2 linked regions of the Caenorhabditis elegans genome follow. The protein of the gene in region 1 purifies or fractionates together with the protein of each later gene. This does not show direct contact. Each region holds a gene or a part of one and is shown on either strand. Other genes may lie near its edges.

Region 1 (3,686 bases):
TTCATAGATTTGATTTAAACCGCCTATAACTATAAATGTTTGGAAGTGAATCAGAGCGAATTTCACAAATAATTTCTCGAATAAAGAGCACAGGCTAACTGAAAATCGGCCCAATGACCATTCCGGGCTGTTCTTTTTGTTCGCCAGTTAGCCGTCTGTAGTTTCGATAAGAGGCAGGCGCGGGTTCAAAGTCTGATGGCCTGCCTGACACCTGATCACCGAAAGCGGGCCTCCTCGCTTCAATTCTACAGGCATGAAATCAAAGATTTGGGGTCTACGCAACGCTCACTTTTTGGGTTCAGAGCCATATTATACAAAAGGCGCGGCGCGTGGCAGGCGGAGGTAGCCGCAAGGTGTCCGCAACATGGCAGCCTGCACGGGTTCCCTAGTCCGCGGTTTGTCTGCTGCCGTCAGGCCGGTTTTGAGCAAATCCGCTCCGTCTCCCACCCTTCTCGTAAAAGTTCGACCGGCCAATTTTTTTCAGCCAATTACAGAGATACTGAAAAACGAGGTTATACTTTAAATAATATCATAGCAAATTATAAAATATTTATCATCATTTCATAATATACACATGGAAATCTCCCTGAAGAATTATTTTAAAAAAGTTCCGATAGCAGCCTTAGTTGTGACGAGCCAAGTCTGGAATTCCGGCAACAGCCGAGTGCTCGATTCCACACTCGTTGAGTCCACGAATGATACGGAAGTATCCCTTCTCTCCCCAGGCGACGTTCCACGAGTTGGCGACAAGCCAGTATGGGGTTCCGTTGTCGACTCCCCATCCGAGGATCTTGACGGCGTGTCCTCCGAGGGAGGCTCCGGCGGTGTGTACGTACACTCCAGTGGTGTATTGGTAGAAGTCCTCGTAGACGGTGAAGGCAACCTCGATTGGTCCGTTCGTAAGAATCTCGGTCTGGATTTGCTCGACCTTCTTTCCGACGGCGTAGGCGGTAGATCCTAGAACTTCATAGTGTTAACCAGCGCCGCTTACACGTGTAAACTCACCAAAGTGCTTATCCTGAAGATATGGGGTGGCGTAGTTGTTCTTGGAAGTGCAGGAGTCGACACACTTTGGAGTTGGCTCGGTGTCTTCTGGGCATGCTGGCCACTTGACGCCGTTCACAGTCTCGCCGCATGGAGCGATCGAGTATGGCTTGCATCCGAACTGGGTCTCGTAGGATCCTCCGGTGACGAGACCGTGCTTGACCCACCACTTCCATGCCTGGATTGGGTAACCTCCTTCGCAACTGGAAAAAAATGGTTTTGAAAGCAACTGTGAGTCCATGCCGATCACTGTGTTCTTATCAGCAAGAACTTTCGATTTTGGAGATTAAAACTACGGCGCTAGAGATCATTTTGTCATAAACGGAATTTGTCGATTCTTATCGTTTTTGTGTAGACGCGTAGTTTTCAAATCAGAATCGGAGCCTTACCCATTTCCGCAGCTGAACATTCCGGTGCAGCACGAGAGCAGATCTTCAGATGAGAGCAAAGTGTTAACGGCTCCATTGGAGGCAATGCATGTTCTGTCGGAGATAGCTTCAGCAGCGGCGAACGCCCAGCAGGAACCGCAGTCAGATTGATCTCTAATGTTATTGATGGACATGCAGTTTGGCCATTGATCACGAGCATCGAAGTGGTCTGGAATAGCGTCGGAGACCTCAGTAGCGACAATATCCTCATCCTTGTGTGGCACCAAATACTTAACATCCATCAGCTTCTTGGTGATCTTCTCCTTTGGAATGACTTGATGTCCAGCGGTCCAAAGCTTTTGGGCAGAGTTGACATAGTCGATCAAAGCTTGTCCAGTGAGAGCTGGGGCTTCACGGTGTCCAGGAATCACCACAGCCGAGGCAGCAGCCACGAGAAGAATAGCGGAGAGCTTCCACATTATGAGAGAAGTGTCTGCGAAGGTTCGCGTCTAATGCTCATTAAGTAGTCGGTACGCATCATTCTTATCAGTTAATTTTATCAGTATCTTTTTTAAGAATTAAAAATTAAAAGGAATGTGACGTAAATGAGTCGCGCGCCAAATATACTTTCACTTGTCGGAATAGATCATTGATGTAAACATTTTTTAATACTGTAAAAATTCTAAGGGGATTAGGAATTAGGGATGAGCCTAATACCTAAGCTTAATGCCTAAGCCTAAGCCTGAGCCTAAGCATAAGCATAAGCATAAGCATAAGCAAAAGCATAAGCATAAGCATAAGCGTAAACCAAAGCGTACGCCTAAGCCTAACTCTAAGCCTAAGCCTACGCCTAAGCCTATGCCTAAGCCTAAGCCTAAGCATAAACCTAAGCCGAAGCACAAGCCTAAGCCTAAGAATAAGCTTAAAAGTAGGCATAAGCCTAGTCCAGAATTATTAAAGCAGATTTTATGAAAATCCATGAATTTTAGTAGAGCTGCATAAAATTTACTTTGAAGCAATTTTGTTAATCATTGTTCACCGAATAAGCTCCGCTTGCATTTCTTTTTGGATAATATGATGTAAATTTTCTGAACTTTGCAACTTCAAATCAATGATAAGAAAGCATTGAATCAATCATTTCTAACCCGAAATGCGGAAAATATTGATTTGCCTGATCGGAGTCCTATTTCAAGCCGATGGAGTACCACCTTCAGGTTTTTTTACAAATTGTATTTCTAGATTGAAAGCAATATTTTCAGAAATTGACCGGATAATTCATTATGTGAATTCGCAAAAAACTACTTGGACTGCTGGGATTCCTGCTCTGAGCCGGAATTCTATGCTGAAAACTCTTGTCACAGACGCTGCAACTATAGGATTCAAAATCCAGAATTTCGGGGTGTCACAAGCAAATTCCGATCTATCTCCTTCATTTGATGCGAGAGAACGTTGGCCGGAGTGCATGTCAATTCCACAGATCAACGATATTTCAGAATGTAGTGAGTTTTGCTTTAAATTCCAGAATATGAACGGTAATGGCCTAAATTTTTCAGAGACAAGTTGGGCGTTCGCAGCAGCCGAATCAATGTCTGACAGGCTTTGCATTAATTCCGGAGGATTTAAAAATACCATTTTATCCGCTGAAGAACTTTTGAGTTGTTGCACGGGAATGTTTTCCTGTGGGGAAGGGTGAGGTGTAGTTGCACGTCTCTACAGGTCCAGTGATCCTGTCAAAATTTAGAAGCGGATGGCAGGCAGGCAGGCAAACCTGGAGGCGTGTCTGCCTACCAACAAAAGTTTGCGAAGAAAAGTCTCTATCTTATCAACTTTCAAAATTTTTAAAGCTCGTAAATTTTTCAACATTGAGAAATGTATATTTAATCAATTTTCTTGCGGCGCGTGATGCAAATTTGAGAAAAAAGTGCAACAACTGCAAAATTGTTTGATTAAACGCAGACGTGCTTTTTATTAAAGGTGGAGTAGCGCCAGTGGGGAAAATGTTAAAAACTATTTATATGGTGCCAAAATGACCGAATATCATAATAAAACGTTTCGAAAAATTTTTGAACTTTTTTTATTTACTGTCAGAAAGTGACAATTACTCAGTTTTTGCCACTCATAATTTTGGAAGTCGACCAAAAAAAAAATGTTTTTCCTACATTTTTTATACTTTAATTTTGTTTTAATTATTTATATTATAACATTGTAGGGGTCGAAATATGCGACAATGCTTTGGATTTCCTTAAAAACTCATATTTTTCAAAATTGTGGGAA
Region 2 (4,135 bases), on another chromosome or scaffold:
AGAAGTTTCGTAACTTCTATTTACGCAAAGCATAAATTCACGTATATTTTCCGAGTCACCGGAAACATGCATTGTGTGCGGTCTTCCTTTACAAACACGACATGGTATTGCACAATAATCGCGCGGTTTTTGCGTGCACAAGTGTATATTTCAATAAAATCTAATCGAACATCTCAAATGTCTCTTCTAAGTTGAGGGGAGGAGGATCGGCTAGCAGGAATAGAAGGAATAGAAGGAAGAATGTCAAAAATATAAACAAATTTCTAACAGATTGTTTGTAGCACAAATGTGCCACTATTCTCTTGGAGGATTCTACGGAAAGTGTTCACTAGTGAGATTTAAAACATGTGGAAATGGAGTGTATCAAAGCATTTGAATCATGCTGGAACAAGTGAGAAAAGTACGAAAATTTCTTGCGTCATGAAAAAGTGAGAACCACATGTTTCGCGAAAGCTTTGGATTTTTTGTTTTCTTTGAGTACAGCATAAAATAAAACTCATAAAATTGTGTTTTCCTCCCACCCAATGTAAACTTTGTTATCAAGAAGCCAGTCAGGGTTTTTAGAATTCTTGCAAACGTATAGAAAGAACTGTTTTAGAACTTCTTATCATCACATAACCACATTTATTACAATCAAGCAAGTAATGGCATAGAAATTGAGTTTTTAAATTAGAAATAGGCTTATTTTCCGGTTCTAGAGGTGGCAAATCCAACTCTCTTGTTTCCATGATCGAAGACCGAGTAGAAGCGTCCGATGAAGACGTCTCCGAGAATCCAGAGTGGTCCGGCTGGGGCTGGAATATCCATTCCCATGAATCCAGAGAGGCAGGTGGATCCTCCGTTTCCGTTGGACATTTGAAGGATGTAGTCCTTTCCTTGAAGATCGAAGTTTTGTCCTCCGAGGTTGAAGGTGATGTTTGGAAGAGATGGAATCTTGCTGCACTCAACTTCGTACTCTCCATTGAAGAGTGGGATTCCTCCGATCTTGTGTTGGATCTTCTTGATGACATCAGTTGGTCCAGTGAGAAGGGAAGTTCCAGTGTCAACAATCGAGTCGATTGGTCCGCTGGTGTAGGTGGTTCCATCGATGACAACCGAAGCGAGCTTGATTCTCCAGTAGTCCTCAGAGACGAGTGGCTCCCAAGCGATGTTTCCGACGTAGTGGTTCGGATCGGTGTCGCAAAGGGTAATTTCTCCTCCGTTGGTGATGTCGTTGGCGTCACGGCTAAGCCAGAAAGCGAATAGTTGATTCTTGCAGATGGCGGAGTTGGCGAAGATTTGGTCCATTGGCTGAGAGATCTTGTTAACAGAGATAGTGTCCCATCCCATTCCGAAGATACCGTCAAACTTGGCAGCGACGAAGGTGATTCCTGGCTCAGAAGTAGCACAGGCCAATCCTTGGTTCTTATCAGTACAGTAGGTGGTATCATGTCCGAACTATAAATATATTTTTCAGCTATATTGTAAATAACATCATAAGATTGACTTACGCAGACAACATCGTTGTCAACGGTTCCCTTCATGGATCCAGTTCCGTATTGGATCTCGAAAGAGGCTCCAGTAGCAGTGCAGGAAGAAGACTTCTTGCAATCAAACTGAAAATTATTTTATTGAAAAAAAGTTGATTTGAATACTTCAAAACTAACTCTGTTGTGCATTCTGCAGGCAATATCTCCGAATGGGCAGTTGGCGCATGGCACCCACAAGTTGGAGGATCCAGTATCGAACAAAACTTGGAAGTTTTGTGGTGGAGTTCCAATGGTCACTGGTCCATAGTATTGAGCATTGGAGTAATCAGAAAGACCCTCGTTGAATGCATCCTTGTTTGGAATGTATCCTGGGACGTACTTGGCCTTAAGATGCTCTTGGATTGATCCGAACTTGTATTGTTCACGAGTGTAAGTGCGCTTCTCGAGCTTGATTCTAAAAAAAGAAGAAACATGATAAATAAATAAAATAAAATAATTTAAATATATGAATGGTATATTAAAAATGTAACTAACCTCTGGATGGCAGAAGCCAAGGCGACAAGAGCCAGAAGAAGGAAAACGCGGCCCGACATGGTGCGTTATCACTAATTGAGAAGCAGCGCTCCGGGTTTCTTTTATATGCGACACAAACTCTTGATGATATAATTGTAAACGTCACAACCGATTTTAGTGATAATTAGTAGAGGAGGTTGGCTGGCTGAAAACGGAATTATTTCCTCTCACCGAGTCAAAAGTTTAGATCGGCTATTAAAGTAGTGTACTTTGTGTGTAAAATGAGGGAAAACCATTAAAAAGTGTCCGGGTTGACAAAATGACTTGCTGACAAGGATCCGGATTTTATAGCGTTCTGTTTGCCAAAAGAACACATTAAACTTTTTCCAGCAAAATCATATGTACTTTCAGCAACAAGTCAACACTGCTTTGTCGTCGTCACACCCTCATCGTCATTCTGATCAAAATAACAATTTCAATGGCCTACAATTCAGATTTGTTCTCCCCTATTAAAATATGACTACACTTTAAAATTAGTTCTAGAAAGTTCCACACGTTAAAAATTTAATCGGCTTATTTTCACAAAATATGAAATCATTATCATTATCGTCAAATTGTCTCACAATTTTCGTTACGAAGTAGATAGGGAATACGAAATCAGAATTTGGACATTGGACTAGATGAAATAAATTGAGAACTGTTGCAGTGGTGGAGCAGGTGTGTATACAATTACTAATAATTTTAGAACCTGAAGTAATTTTTATAAATTTGTTTCATTGAACCAAGTATTGAAGTTTTAAGTAGTAAAACATGTGTTACTATAAATTGGCCGAAAGTTTTTTAACAATATTTTTTGTTGGCTTAAAAACACTTATATTAGTCGTGCATGACCAATAATCATAATATAAATATACATACTTCAAAAACTTTTAGATATATATACTTTTAAGTTGAAATTTTGGAAATTATATTGTTTTCCAGCCACTTCCAGAATTATGATAGGTGAAAACTAAGTTTTCTTGAATTTTCGACTGCACAAAAAATTTAAAAAGTCGTTTGAAAAGTTTCACTATAGTCTTAAACCTTTAAACCACAATTTAAATTTCATTTTCACAACGGCCAATACCCAACCTTTGACAAACTCTGAATTCTAGTTTTTTCAACAAAAAAAAGTGTATAAATGACGAAAATGAAAAAACTTTTTGTAGAATGATAAATTATTTCCCAGCCGCTGTGTCAAGGCTAATTAAACAAAATTGAAGTTTTACCTAGCTCTAGTTTTTTTTAATGATTTTAAAAAGTCTAACTTTGAAAAATTTACAATTTTCTTAATATTTACTCTTTCTTTAACAACTTTTTACCTTTTAGATTAAAAATTGTTCACCCCTTTTCTGAATTTCTGAAAGAGAGACTCTCCTGAAACCAAAATTCCAAATAAAGACATTCATATCACGTTTTCTTTCAAGTATCGTTTTTAATGTATATATTCATTATTTTTATCTTAAAAACATTATTGAGACGACATCAATCAACCCCACCACATCAGTTTATCTCATCAAGTTCATCATGCTCTAAAATATCGTCAACAATGATTTCCCCGGCGGGTCTTGTTGGCAGCTTCCCTCAAACCGCCAACCCAGTTGAGCTGTGTAAAAAGCAAAAGTTTGTGCGGACGGCTCAGCGAGCAGCCGTTGTAAAGGATCTCGTTCCACACATCTCTTTCACACAAAATCTTCACTTAAAATGAAAATTCGTTTACTCGATTTTTCGATATTCTCCATTTTGTTGCTATTTCGAACGTCGAAATCATTCAAAGCTCCTACTCACGTGACTGCAACCAAGGGAAAGTTTTTTGTCCACACTCTCCATTCTGCACACTTTTTCCCGAGCACAGGTGCAAACTATTGATCGTTTTTATCAATTGCTCTTTTATTTTCAGTTAAAGTGAAATGGGAAGCTACGCTAAACAAAAAGCCGGCTCTTCCAAACTGGTTACGTCTCTTACCGTCGCGACACCCGGAAATCGCTTATCTAATAGGTGATCGATTAGTTATTAACACACCAGTACATTCATAAAAATAAAATCATCTTATGATTTTTATCGTAGTTATGTATGTTTCAGGCACACCGGTCACAAATGTGCAGCATGTTAC

The links. The genes of interacting proteins can lie anywhere in the genome.
Region 2: the proteins of cpr-5 (region 1) and asp-3 fractionate together in Caenorhabditis elegans (co-fractionation; one large-scale study listed by BioGRID). This does not show direct contact.

The regions. Positions count from the first base shown.
Region 1 is NC_003283.11:1,132,064-1,135,749, forward strand, and holds cpr-5 (Cathepsin B-like cysteine proteinase 5), read right to left. Parts: upstream 1,974-3,686; 5' UTR 1,892-1,973; coding exon 1,434-1,891; intron 1,248-1,433; coding exon 1,006-1,247; intron 958-1,005; coding exon 623-957; 3' UTR 535-622; downstream 1-534. Other genes in the region: cpr-8 (Peptidase C1A papain C-terminal domain-containing protein), read left to right, coding at 2,563-2,626, 2,672-2,911, 2,966-3,101.
Region 2 is NC_003284.9:6,789,118-6,793,252, reverse strand, and holds asp-3 (Aspartic protease 3), read right to left. Parts: upstream 2,190-4,135; 5' UTR 2,063-2,189; coding exon 2,004-2,062; intron 1,924-2,003; coding exon 1,647-1,923; intron 1,596-1,646; coding exon 1,491-1,595; intron 1,438-1,490; coding exon 682-1,437; 3' UTR 544-681; downstream 1-543. Other genes in the region: sgca-1 (Dystroglycan-type cadherin-like domain-containing protein), read left to right, coding at 3,726-3,876, 3,922-4,020, 4,105-4,135. UniProt on the Caenorhabditis elegans protein: Aspartic protease. Part of the necrosis cell death pathway. Involved in neuronal cell degeneration. Involved in heat stress response.